Rhinolophus ferrumequinum: one gene and its partner. The protein of the gene in region 2 interacts with the protein of the main gene of each other region in a biochemical or structural test. Links are inferred from orthologs where the notes say so. Each region holds a gene or a part of one and is shown on either strand. Other genes may lie near its edges.

Region 1 (5,547 bases), on a different chromosome or scaffold from region 2:
CAAACCCACCTCCTCGACCACCACCCAAGTTTCCAGAACCACTTTGACCTCTTTGGCTGGATGAAGCACAAGCCATTTCTTGCTTAGATGGGGCTTTCCTTATGTCACAGTTGTGGCCATTCACAGTATAGCATTCCTGAATGACAATCTTGTCTACAGAGTCATGATCATCAAAGGTGACAAAAGCAAAGCCTCGCTTCTTGCCACAGCCTCGGTCAGTCACGATTTCAATCACTTCAGTTTTCGCACTGTTCAAAGTAATCTCTTGGGTGATGTTCTTCAGTGTCGTCTTTAATGCCACCAACCAAAATCTTTTTCACAGTGAAGTGGGAACCGGGTCTTTGAGAATTTCCTCTTGAGACAGCCCTCTTTGGTTCCACACCTCTTCCATCCACGTGTGGCCTTGCCTTCACGGCTGCATCCACCTCCATGGTGGCATCAGTGACAAACCCAAAGCCTCTGGAGCGCTTGGTGTCTGGGTCTCTCCTCAGCACACAGTCAGTGAGCGATCCCCATTGCTCAGAATGGCTCCTCAGACTCTCATCGGTAGTTTCAAAGCTCAAACCTCCGATGAAGGGCTTCTGCAGATGTTCAGGCTCTTGGGGAGACTCTGACTTAGACATGACGACCACAGGATGGGGAGACCTCCACGATGCTTCCTCGGTGGCGTCCACCGACAGAAAGGAGTGATCTCCCAATTCTTTATTAAAGTTAATTTAAGTTATCAGCAAAGTCTAAAGAATGGCATCAGTTCACGACAGTCTATGCAAAGTGTCCTGGGAGGCCTGCGGTCACTGGCCACAGACCGTGGGCTGGCCGGGCTGTGGCCGCACCAGCCTTTCTCCCCTCCCCCCAGCATCCAGCACCGCCAGGCCTGAGCCGGTGGAGGCGGGCACGGGGGACGAGCGGGCACTCAGAAGAGCACGCATTTGCTGCTCATGCAGCCGGGGCTGCCCTCATCTGGCGGGCTCACCTTGCGTAGCTTGTGCTGCCGGATCTCACGCACCAGCGTGTAGAAGGCGTCCTCCACGCCCTGGCGCGTCTTGGCCGAGGTCTCGACGTAGGGGATGCCGTAGCTGCAGGCCAGGTCCTGCGCCTGTTGGGTCTCCACGGTGCGTGCAGCCAGGTCACACTTGTTCCCCACCAGCACCATGGGCACGTCGTCCGAGTCCTTCACCTGCCCGATCTGCTGCCGGTACTGGTGGATATCCTCGAAGGACTTGGTGTTGTTGATGGCGAACACGCAGAGGAAACCCTCGCCAGTGCGCATGTACTGGGCCCGCATGGCGCTGTACTCCTCCTGGCCGGCCGTGTCCAGGATGTCCAACAGGCACGTCTCCCCATCGATAACCACTTGCTTCCGGTAAGAGTCCTCGATGGTGGGGTCGTACTCTTCCACGAAGTGGTTCTGGAAGAACTGGATGGTCAGGGCACTCTTCCCCACGTTGCCAGTGCCCACCACCACGAGCTTATACTCCGTCATGTTGCCTCCAGGGACTCAGCACGAGGTGCTGTGCTGGTGTCCTGTCCCAGCGATCGCTGGAGCTGCAGCCCCTCAGGCCGGAGCGGGTGGGGGTGGGGGCCGGGCGCGCAGCTCTTATGGCGCGCGGGCTCCTGCGGCGGTGGGTGCGGCCTCGTCTGTGGGCGGTGCGCGTGAGCGTGGGGGGCGGACACCAAGACGGTGTCTTTTTAAGAAGACTTGTTCTAATAGCTGTAGTATCTGATGTCCCGCTAGGGCTTGCTTTGTGCCATGTATGTGCTTATGAGTGCTACGAGGTGCTTATTCTCAGTGCGGTTTTTGTGAATGAGGAAACAGGACAGAGGTAATAGATAACTTGCTAAAATCACAGTATATGGGGGAGCGGGATCGGAATTCAGGCAGTCCAGGTCTAGAGTCTAGGGGCTTAATAAACCCACCCTAAGATTCCTCGTCTGTCGACAGACTGCTGAGTATTGATTAGACTGATTTGTTGAAGAAGGAACCTTTTAAAAGTGATGTAACACTTTTATTTACAAATATTAATAAGTATAAAGTGCTGGAAGGGATTATGTAAACATATAATGAAACTTTTTAAAGTAGTTTTTGAAAATATTTTGGGGGCCTCTGCAAGCAAAAACATTGGAAAACTCTGTTCTAGTTTACAGCTGATTTTGGAAGAGAACAATGATCATAATCTAATTTGACTAGAAATAAAAAGTGATAAAAAGTTATTTAAAACTAGTAGAAGTAAAACAATACTTGGACTGTCAGTTTAACGACCTGGAATACATCAATGCAATATTAGTCAAAGACAAAGTAAGAGGCTGTTTTTAATTAGTGCATGAAAATTACATCCTTTATGAAAACGAGAATCAGGAATAACTCCGTTTTGAGAAAAATATTATTAAACAAAGCAAGTGTGAAAGGTAGGCAAAGTGAATTACACCCAAACAATCACAAACCCAGCAAGTATAAGCAAAAATTTTAATGGCCTTTCTTTCTTATTAATAATGATATATGAAGCTATGCACTACTTTCTAAGCTAAGCAATCAAACCTAGCAGAATAAGCCTATGCATTTCATCCAGGATTATGACAGTGGATTATGAAAGGCCCATAGGGAGGAGACAGCTGGTTCTAGGGCTCCCAGCCACCTATTGGAAATTTAAAGGCATTTTCTGCTTTCAGATCCCTATCATGTCCTCTACTTCACTACAAGAAGCAGATTATGACAATCCCTATGGAGCTAATCAGAGGGGTCTCAGGGCAAAGAGGTTATTTTATTCAATTACAAGAATATTCGATGACTATCTACAAGGAGCTCAGAGCTATAGTAATTGAAGACAGTTTTGGGATACAGAAAAGATGAATAAGACAATGAGATAGTTCTTAAGGAGTTCATTGTCGTCTAGGGAGAGGAGAGAAAGAGAAAGCAGGGAAGTGAGAGAGAAAATTGAAAAGCGAGTGTTGTAGTAACTGTGGTCTGAGTGCCAGGAAGAGAGAGAAGTAGGGATTGTGGTGGAAGTAGGTGACTGAGATGGACGTGGCGCACGGATGGTGTTTCATATCAGCATAACAGTGGGTCTCCAAAGAGAAAAACAGGGCAGTGGAACAGAACTATAATTTAAGAGAACTTTCCTGAAGTACAAAAAGATTGGAAACTGCCCACTGAAAGTTACCATGTCCCTGCGAGTACCAACCCAGAATGGCTAATACCAAGACATATCTAGTAAAACTTTTGGATTTAAACAAAGAAAAGAAATCCTTTGGGCAAGAGGTAAAACAGTCACTCAAAAAATGAATTAGATTATCATCAGATTTTTGACAATACTGCTTTATGTTACAGGAAAATGGAATAACATCTTGAAGACAGTTTTTTACTGAGGAATATTCTAGAGGACAAGTTAACAGACAACTGAAATGGTTAGAGACAGTGCCATTAGGGCTGGTGTTGAGCTTTCAACATCAAGTTACTGTAGAACTAAGATTTACTGAGGGTTAGCGAGGAGACAGGGCAGTGCTTATGATGGCTGTTATCTGATCTGACAATGCAGGTATGGAACAACCCTAGAAATAAGGGGAAAATGGGAAGGATATGCAAAAAAAATTTTAATTGACTCTCAGAAATTAAATTCGGCATGCTGTTCTGAGACTGTTGTGTGTAATATGGGATAAGCAATTACCTGTTCATATTCTTCACCTTTCACCTACCAGGATAGAGCCCTCAGATATCACATTGACCTTGAATAGCTCTCTTTTACCAGGCTGTGTATGTATGTATGTGTGTGTGGGTGTATGTTTAATTTGCCACTAGCTACATTGGGGGCTGGGGGAGGGGTTCCTATACCTTTATAACACTACTCCTTGGTTTCGCAGGTTTCTGGTTCTAGGCAGAGGGCCTCTGTACATTCCTATTTTCATTCTCACCGTATTCCTGGCTGTCAGGCTTTGTATGTTTTTAAATCTCAAAGAATATTTATCTTCAGGCTTTTTGTTTATTTTATTAATATCTAAATGTCTATCCTGGGCCACTGATAGGCATTGTCCATTTCCAATTAGATTATGAATGGAATTAATCCATCATTCCACTGGAATATTCCTTTCTGCTGAAATCCCAGTCCCTCTCATGAATTTATCAGCCATGACAAATGCTCAGTGTGGCTTATTTTAGTGTCATTGAATGGCCAGCAGTTTAGTTCTCTTCTTTCCTTTTTGTACTTTCTGTGGCAGAAAGGAGAAAACTTTGGGTGTCTGTTATTCACCGTATGTACCGTATTGTATTTTTCTCCATAGCACTTAGCACAGTGTGACTATTATTTGTGTGTTCATCCACTCTCTCCTGTGGCAGCACCACCTTGTTTGTTTGTCACCGTTTCCTCAGCATCTGACGGCAGTGTTATCTTAATGTTTGTTGAATGAATGCAATGCCTTTTGATATTATGTATTTGTGATAAAGTAAATATGTGTGTTCTTAAAGGACGGCTCCATTAAGTGTACTAGGCTTTATTGTAGAAATTTAGAAGAGACAGAAGTACAGGGAATTTTGTCAAATTCCAGAGAAACATTCTTAAAGTTTCTCATGGTACCTATTATTCTTAAGCTTATCTATATATCTTCCAGACATGAGAACATTTTTTTCCCACCAAATAACTAGCTGTTGCATGATGTTTCACCTAAGTAAATAAACGAGTGAATAAAACAAATGTCAATATTTTAATAGATTGAGATAGGGTTATCATTCAACAATATTATATACCATCACAAAATATCATATTTTTAGTAAGGAAAAATGAAGTTTTTCAGCTAAAAATAAGCTACATTATGCATAAAAAAACATAAAAAGCAAATGCATAGATAAACTTTTCCTTTAAAAATGAATGAAAGTATGCTATATACTAGAGGTGCCAAAAAAATGTATACACATGACTTGTATTCATCTTTTATTATATTTATTATATATTTATTATATATTATATATATTATAATATTATATAAATTTTATTATATAAATATATATTTATTTATGTATATATTTATATATATAAATTATATATATAATTTATATATATTATATATATAAATTTATATATATAATTTATATATATATTTATATATATTTATATATATAAATATATATATTTATTTATATATATAAATATATATTTATTTATATATATTTATATAATAAATAAATATATTTATTATATAAATATATATATTTATATGTTATATAAATATATATATTATATATTTATTATATATTAAGTATTACAATTTTAGTACAGTGTTTTTCTTTATTAAAATGTGTGTTCATTTTTTGGCACCCTCTGTATATAGTTTTCACCTTGATTTTTTAATATTTCGTATTATATCTAGAAGATTGCTCCATATCAATCAATGCATATAGAGTTTCCTCATTTGTTAATGCTGCTCATTATTCCACTGTATAGATTTACAATAATATATTTTACTAGTTATCTATTGATGGACATTTAGGTAATTTCCAGTCCTCTGCTATTAGAACCAAAGCTGCAATATCTCATCCTGTATTTAGGTTATTCCATAATT
Region 2 (8,004 bases):
GAATCACTGCATGGAGGAAAGCCATGAGGAATAAGAAATGTCTATTGCTTTTGAGCTATTATAGTTTTGCAGGCCTACTTGTTATAGCTGCTAACATTAGCATAATTAATTCAGGTGCCTAACACATACCAAAGACCTAACTTACATTTGTTGAAACAAAATAAATAAGTCCAAGTTCCTTCTCTCAATGTGCTGATCAACTAACGACAGACACCTGTCAAACATAATGCCTGCTGCTGAAATTTGAAAACAAAATTGGAGGGGAAGGAATGGAGAAAGCTTCACAGAGGAGATGACTTCTGAGCTGAGCCCCAAAGGTTAATTAGAACCCAAGCCAATCAGATGGGGTTGAAGATTCCAGACCCAGAAAATAACACAGAGTAAAGGCACAGTAAGCCAAATGTGCATTTGTTCACTTTTCAAACTTATCATTAAGTCCCTAACTTGGTCAACAGAATGCGAATTTACTGTACACTGACTTTCCTTCCTGGGTCTGGCATCAAACAAACAACCCTTTGTTTTTTACAGTGAACTCATTAACCCTGTTGCTTTCTTTAATATAAAAAGTTCCATGATGAATGTCCTTAGAAAGTACAGAAGCAAATGTTTAATGAATTACAACAACTCTTTTCTAATAAAAATCTTGAGGAACAAACTTGAGAGCATTCTATTACTTATGACAAAGAGCTACGCTCTTAGGAATCAACGGTTTCAACCTACCTTATCACATTATCGATTAAGCATGTAATAGTCATTGGCTTTCAAAACGGAACATTAAGCCCCCAGATTTACATTAACATTTCCTGTTTAAGAGGAACACCAAGCAGGTGATTTCAAGTTCAATCAAAAGATTCTATACATCCTTTGCTCCTAGCTAAGCGTACCCAAAACCTGAAATAGTTAACAAACCATTTCCTCCTAAAATCTACGAGTCTCTTCACAGTACCCATGGGGCAGGGACTCAGGAGAAAGAGCGCACAAAGGGTGGAAGGTCTGTCGGTCACTCGGTTGGTGAGAGGAAGGATGTGGGTGTCTGCAGGCTACCCTGAAGTAGGGAGGAGGCAGGTTCCAGTGGTCTTCCAAACATCAATTTAATGCTGTGTTATTAATGCCCCAGGAACTTGTTTGAATATAAGGGCAAAGCAAAAATCACTGGGCAGTCAGGATTTCACTTCAAAGGGCTTCAGCGCTCCTTAGACTTGAGAGAAGAAGCAAGTCAGGTGGCTTCACTCATATCAAACAGGAATTTAATTCTCTGATTCAGAAACAAAATCTCTGCCCCACACCAATTTATCCTACCCCAGCTCTTAGTACCCATACCCCTCAAAAGAGGTGTTTAAAACAAGGCAGGGGGCTGGGTAGGTGGCTAGCTACCTTGAAAGTAAAGCAACTCTTAAGATGGCTGGAATCATTTCCCCTTTAAATCTAAGAAATACTGCAGCTGCCAGTCAACACTACCGGTCCATGAATACAGCAAAATGCTAGCACCTGCCACCCTGCATCTGGGGCCATTTATTTTTTGGTAAATGTGGCAGGAAAGACTCTCAGAAAGAAGATCAACTGCTTTATCTGAGAGAAAGGGCGCCCCAGGAAAGAGAAACAAGAAGCATTGCGCCCATCCTTGGGTACTTTGTGTGTCTCCTCTCCGGGCACTGAAAGAGCTCTTTGTGTCACACACACACACACACACACACACACACACACACACGGCGAGTCTGTGTGATTTATTGGGGGAGGAGGGGCAAGAAGGGTGATTTTATTATCCCTCTTCTCATTGAGTCCCAGCAAATCTCCGCCCGGGCCCAAGCTCGGTGGCCTCTTTCTGGCCCAGTCCCCTCCGCCAGTGGCCGCAGAGATAAGAGAGGGGAGGCGACCAAACAAAAATAGTCATCGATCTAGGGAAGTAGAGAGGAAATCCAGCGAACAGGGAAGGGAGGAGAAAGGAGCTTGAGGGAAAAAGGGTGGGGAGCAGAGAAAGAGGAGCGAAGTCTCCAGCACTGGGGACAGGGAAGGGGTGGGTGGGTGGTGGCACAGGAAGAGTGAAGGGGAGGATGGGGGAAGTGCAAGGGAGGTGCCAGAAATAGGCAGGAGGATGCGATGGGGAAGGAGACGGCCGCAGAAGGAGGAGGCCGAGAGGTGGAAGAGTGGGGCAGGGGTGGGGTGGGGAGCGAAGTAGCACGGGGCATCAATTATTAAGTGATTACATCATCCCTGACATTGAAACAACACACACACAGCCTGGGTCCCCGCGGGGGGCCCCCGAAAGGAGGGCGGGGGCGGAGTCTGGGCCAGCCTGGTCTCCAAGCCTATTCCTATTCTCACCCCGCGCCCGCTCACGAGCGAGAAAATGGGCCCCTATTCCTGCGGTAACTCGGAGCCGCACCCCGCAGAGGTACCTCCGGCTCGGCCGCGGGAAGACTCCGAACGGGGCCAACCCCCCGGCAGCCCTGCGGGGCGCCCCAGAGGCGGCGGCGGCCAAGAGACTGCAGCGCGGGGCCCCACGGCAGGGGCAGCGGAGCGCGGGGGTGCCTGCAGCCTGTTTCCGCAGCATCCCCGCGGCCTCCCTCAGCGCATCCCCGGCCGCTTACCTGTTCGGCACTCAGGCTCCGGAACCCATTCACATGGTCCTCTCCCCGCCCTCCTCCAGCGCGGCTCAGGCAGCTCCGATTGCTTCGGCGGGCCCGGGAGCCGGTGGGCCTTCGGAGAGCGCCGAGGGGGCGGCGCCGGGTGTTCCCGGCCCGGCGGCCGGATCCCTTCGTGGCGCGGGCGGCGGCCGCCGGGCGGTGCGGCTCAGGCGGCGGCTTTGTGTGCGCCCCGGGAGTCCACGGTGCGCTGGGTGAAGCGCTGCGCGACCGGACCGCGAAGGACGCGCTGCTGCGAGGGCAGCCTCGCCTCTGTTCCCGCGGCCAGCGGGCGGGCGGGTCTCCGCGGCCTTCGGCTCACACGACCCCTCCTCCTCTCCCGCGGCAGCCCCCTCCCCGCCGGCTCCGCTCTTGACAGATGGCGCAACTGCAACGACACGCCGCTGCTGCCGCGGCTGCTAGCAGCTACCAGCGCTGATGCTCCAGCCCTTCAAGCCCCAGCCCGGAGTGAGGAGGGGGCGGGACGCACCCTGAGAGTGGCAGGCCCCGCTACCCTATCAACGGGCCCCTCGGGAGCTATAAGCGGCGACCATTGGTGTCGAGGCGGGAGCGGGACTGAAATGGGTGGGGCCACCGAGTGGGTTGAGCGTAACAGTGGCCGCGGGCATCCTGGCGTGTTGTGTTGAGATGGGATGCAGGGTTGAAGGAGTTGTGTGTGTGTTTTTAAGTATTGTGTAGACCTGTGAGGTAGTGGGTTAGGGTGGGGAACGGAGGGGAGAGAGTGGGCTGCAGTTTCTGCTTTGCGGAAGGTTGCAACAGCCACTGCAGAAAGAAATCTGCCATTCCCCCCAAACCATGGGAACCTGTCTCAAGAAAGGGCTATCTTGCCTTTCTGGTGTCTTTTCATTTGAAGGTGGAAAGATAAATTGGGAAAGTGTTAGGGTGCTGAAAGCGTTTTCTCTGATCAAACCGAAGAGTGAGAAGCAAGGTAGAATCTCATCACAGAACCCTGGAAAAGTGAAGAGAGCCCTGGAAACGCACAATTAATATTACTAATAATAAGGAGGAGGAGGAAATTAGGATTAATTTATTAGTCTCCTATTTTCGTGGACACGTACACACATATATATTTATGTTCAAGCCAAAGTCTGGAAGAAGTATAACTGAAATGGTGAAAGCAGGCAGAGAGGGCAGGCAGTGATGAAGGAATCTGCAATCACAGAGTAGAGATTTGTTTGTGTAGCTTTTTCCAAAGTCATGTTTACTTGTAGCCATTGGTTGTCTTTGGTTTCTCATGCCATTCAGCCTTCTTATATATTTTTTTCTTTTCCCTTCACTGAATCTGAGCTTTTGCCTAGATTTTCCTTGATGAAATAATAGCGGGTTTAGTATACATTTGGGAGTGCATCAGTCCTTATTTCCTATCCAGCTTTTCTATGGCAGGATGTAACTTCATAAAAAGAAACACTTTGGCTTCCTGATTTTCTTCATAGGTAATTCCTGTTTACTGAAAGTTCTACTTTAAGGCATGCTTAGATTGATTCTCCTTAACGATTTTGGCAAGAACCCTACCATCCCCCTTCAGCAAATCTAATGTTCTGAGAAATGTAAGTGAATTGGCTTCTGCTTCTGTGCTCAAAATCTATAATATTACCTCTCCTGCCCACTAATTTTTTAACTGCAATTTTAAAATATCTCCCTCTTTTGCTGTTTTGACAGGTACTTTTTTCCTTTTTGTACAAAGTACATTTTAAAAAGTTGCTAACATTTGTTAAATGATCCTCATGTTATGGATGAGGAAACTGAGGACAATAGAAGTTAGTACCTAAACTCAAGGTGATAGTATAGGATAGTCACTGTGGTTTTTTTCTCTCCTTAAACAAAATGATAAGTGAAACCATGTTTAAATTATGTGTCTGGTAATTCATTCCGTAGTCCCAAGAAATGGAACCAAAACTAGGACTAGAAGATTTCCATAGAAGATAATTATCTCAAGAGAAGGGACTCCTTTTCCTCGGTACTAGCCTGTCATGGCCGTCTTAGGTTTATTTGAATGTGTAACTGTCTACAGCAATGGTTCTCAAACCTTGGTGTATATCAGAATTATCAGAAAGGGACTTGTTAAAACACATATTGGTGGCCCCCACACCCAGAGGGTCTGATTCATTAAGTTTGGAATGAGGCCCTCGAATTTGCACTTCTAACAGTTCCCAGAGGCTGCTACTGCTGCTGGTCTGTGTACCACACCTTGAGAACCACTGGCCTAGAACCAGGCTATCCAGAGTGGTAGCCACTAGGCACATGTGGCTATTAAGCATCTGAAATGCACTTGACATTTGAAATGTGGCCAGTGCAAATTGAGATGTGCTGTAAATGTAACAGACATACTGTATTTCAGAGATTTAGCATGAAAAAAAGAAATTCAAACCATCTAATTAATGTTTATGTTTATTACATGTTAAGAAGATAATAGTCTGAATATAGTGTGCTAAATAAGATATATTATTAAAGTTAATTCACCTATTTCTTTTAATTTTTTTTTAATGTAGCTACTATCAAGTTTAAACTAGCACATGTGGCCCACATCATGTTTCTCTTGGACAGAACTGGTCTAGAGTTGTTTTTGATTACAGCGCCACAGTGCACACTGTTGAAAACACCTTGATGAGGCAAATCACTTACCCTTTCTGGACCTGAGTGTTCTGATACATAAAATGGGGAAACAGTAAAACAGATCTTATAGGACTTTTGTAAAGACGAAATGGACATGGAAGCAGTGTGTGCATATCTGCCTCCTTTTCAAAGATAAACTGTCATGCACCCTCAGAAAAACCACTCCGAAGGTACAGACCCCTTTGGAATTCCATGTGAGAATCACTTTTTCTTACATGAAATCTGGAGTAGGTGGGGTGAGGCATCTCATTGGTTATGGTTTCTTCAAGAAGAGTCACTTTTTAGCGTCTGTAACTCTAATAGCTTCTTACTCTAATTAGTGAACAAAAAGAAGAGACAAAGCAATTAAAATGACAGATTAACCTGCTCCCATCAGGACTTCATCCTGTTTTTGTAATTCTTTCTTTGCCTCGCTGTTTATCTGTTGCCCTTTTTAAATGTAGCTTTAAATAGATTTGGCCTCCTCTGGAGGATTTGGTAATGGTCTGAACAAGTATATAGGGTACTATGAAAGATTTTTGATACTCTTCCCCATTTTGATCTGTGCATGTTGCTACAGAGATGTTGACTAAAGATCCATGACACTGTCCCTGGCCTACTTGAGATAAGTCACATTGTCATCTATACCCCCCAGTTTTGTTTCATTTTCTTATGGACAGCTTATATTATAGAAGTTAGAATGTAGCATTGTTCTAGAATTGCTCTTTGATTTGACTGGTACTGGTTATTTTTATTTTTCTGTCTCTTTCACCTTAAAGTTTCCTATTTCTATCTGGGCTTTCTTTGTTTTATCTTGACTGATATTTTTATTCTCTTGCCTTTAAAGTAGCGTTGTCCTTAGTTTTAATCTTACTAGTTAAACTATTTTCCTGCCTTATTGTTACATTTGAGTTTTAATTTTCTGTTAAGTGATAACTCAATAGCAATACATACAGTGAGGGTAAGAATCCTTGATGTAGACTTACTACAAATCAACAAGAAAATAAAGCTGAATACTCTAGTTGAAAAACATGTGAAAGCAATTGCATCCCAAAATGGCCAGTAAACATGTGAAGAGATTCAACTTCCCTTGTAACCAAAGCAATGCAAACATATAGTTTTTCAACTACCTGGTTGGCCAAAGACTAAAAGAACATGGGGAAATTGATACCCACACCCTACTAGTGGGAGTGTTCATTGGTATAACATTTCTGGAAGACAATTGAATAACATTTATGAAAAGCCTTTTAAAAACTATATAACTTTGACCCAGCAATTTTACTTTTGAAAAAGAGTCAAACAACTGCAAAGGTATACCTATGAGGTAAGTAATTATAGCATTGCTTATAATAGTGCAAAATTGGAAAAATTCATTGATAAGGGATTTAGTGTGTAAATTATGTTATATCTATAATAGAACACTATATAGCCATTAAAATGATGATGTCAACTATTTATTTATTGGAAGATTTTCACAATAAATTGTGAAGAGAAAAAAGTGAACAACAAATTAGTATGTGTAGATATAGGTATGTATGTTTATACACTATATATTCCATTGTTTTTAAACATATCTATATATAAATTTGCATAGAAAAGTATGCAAGTGTACACACAAAAAAATTTTAAGTGATTTTCTCCAAGTTGTCAGATTATAGGTCATCTTTATTTTTCATCTTTTTCTTAGTTTTCTGAACTTTTTACTTTGGGCACTTATTAGTTAACAGATGAAACAGTTAAACAGTTTTAAAACTTTTTCCTTCCTTTGCTACTTTAATTTTTTTCTTTTCTCGTCCTCCTCCGATTCTCTGCTGTTTTTCTTCCCTTTTGAACAAGACTTGTTACAGGTGTGGTATCCAGAAGAGGCGCCGTGCCAGGGCTCAGAAGGTAGGATGTCTTCTGCTCCCATGCAAAGGCAGCCACCATTCTAGCTTTTCTAGTGGATGTCCCAGGACTTGTAAAAATGACTCTCAAAAAACTTCACTGTCAGAGCAGGAGGCCACTGGGAAACTGGTACCCAGGCTAACCTCTCTGTACTGGGCACACCTGATTTACTGTGAAACTCTTACGTCTGACGTCTCATATCATCAAGTTCTTATAGAAAAAGCTACCTGTTTTAAAACCCGTGATGTTTAAAGCGTAGTTAATAGATTTAGTGTACATTGGATCTGCAGCTTGCCTTGAGCCAGGAAGAGATGATCCTGGGAAAAATCTCATATGGGAAGGGAAGGACCCTTTGTACACCACCCCAACCTGAGCTTCAGAAGGTGGGGGGATAGGTGGTGTCTAAACTGCCTTTGGAAGAGGCCCAGCTGAGCTTCTGAAGCTGGGATTCAGGTACTTTTATACCAACTCTCTCTTTTTAACTTTGTCCAAACTGGATAGTAGCTTCTCCTGGCAGGGCCACAGCAGAACCCTTTTGGTTTTCTTCCATCTTAAAAAGGTGGAGACTGGGCTAAATAGACATAATAGAGTTATTATAAACATGGTTTTAGAGCCCAGGTTCACTGGACCGCTGCTACGTGTTCTCAACATGTTAGCGTCAGTACTGTGTAAGCTGGGCCTGTCAGGAGGGATTGAACTTGCAAAGGAAGAGGCCTGGCTCCCAAATATACCACCAGGATGGGAGGAAGGGTGATGGTGATTGAGATGGTCTTCTTTGATTCTTTGACTCCTCGGGGGAGGCCTGGGTTATTACCCGGTGTGGTTCAAATGTCAGGAAATAAGACTTAGTCAACCGTGAGAATATAGATGGAAACACTTCTAATTT

What was found.
Region 1: the proteins of FYN (region 2) and GTPase HRas-like form a complex in vitro, tested with the Homo sapiens proteins (2 studies listed by BioGRID and IntAct). The link is inferred for Rhinolophus ferrumequinum from reciprocal best matches to the Homo sapiens genes FYN and HRAS.

Annotation. Positions count from the first base shown.
Region 1 is NC_046304.1:5,548,380-5,553,926, reverse strand, and holds GTPase HRas-like, read right to left. Parts: upstream 1,499-5,547; 5' UTR 1,484-1,498; coding exon 914-1,483; downstream 1-913. UniProt on the Homo sapiens protein: Involved in the activation of Ras protein signal transduction. Ras proteins bind GDP/GTP and possess intrinsic GTPase activity.
Region 2 is NC_046286.1:63,827,645-63,835,648, forward strand, and holds the start of FYN (tyrosine-protein kinase Fyn), read right to left. Parts: upstream 3,090-8,004; 5' UTR 2,589-3,089; intron 1-2,588. UniProt on the Homo sapiens protein: Non-receptor tyrosine-protein kinase that plays a role in many biological processes including regulation of cell growth and survival, cell adhesion, integrin-mediated signaling, cytoskeletal remodeling, cell motility, immune response and axon guidance.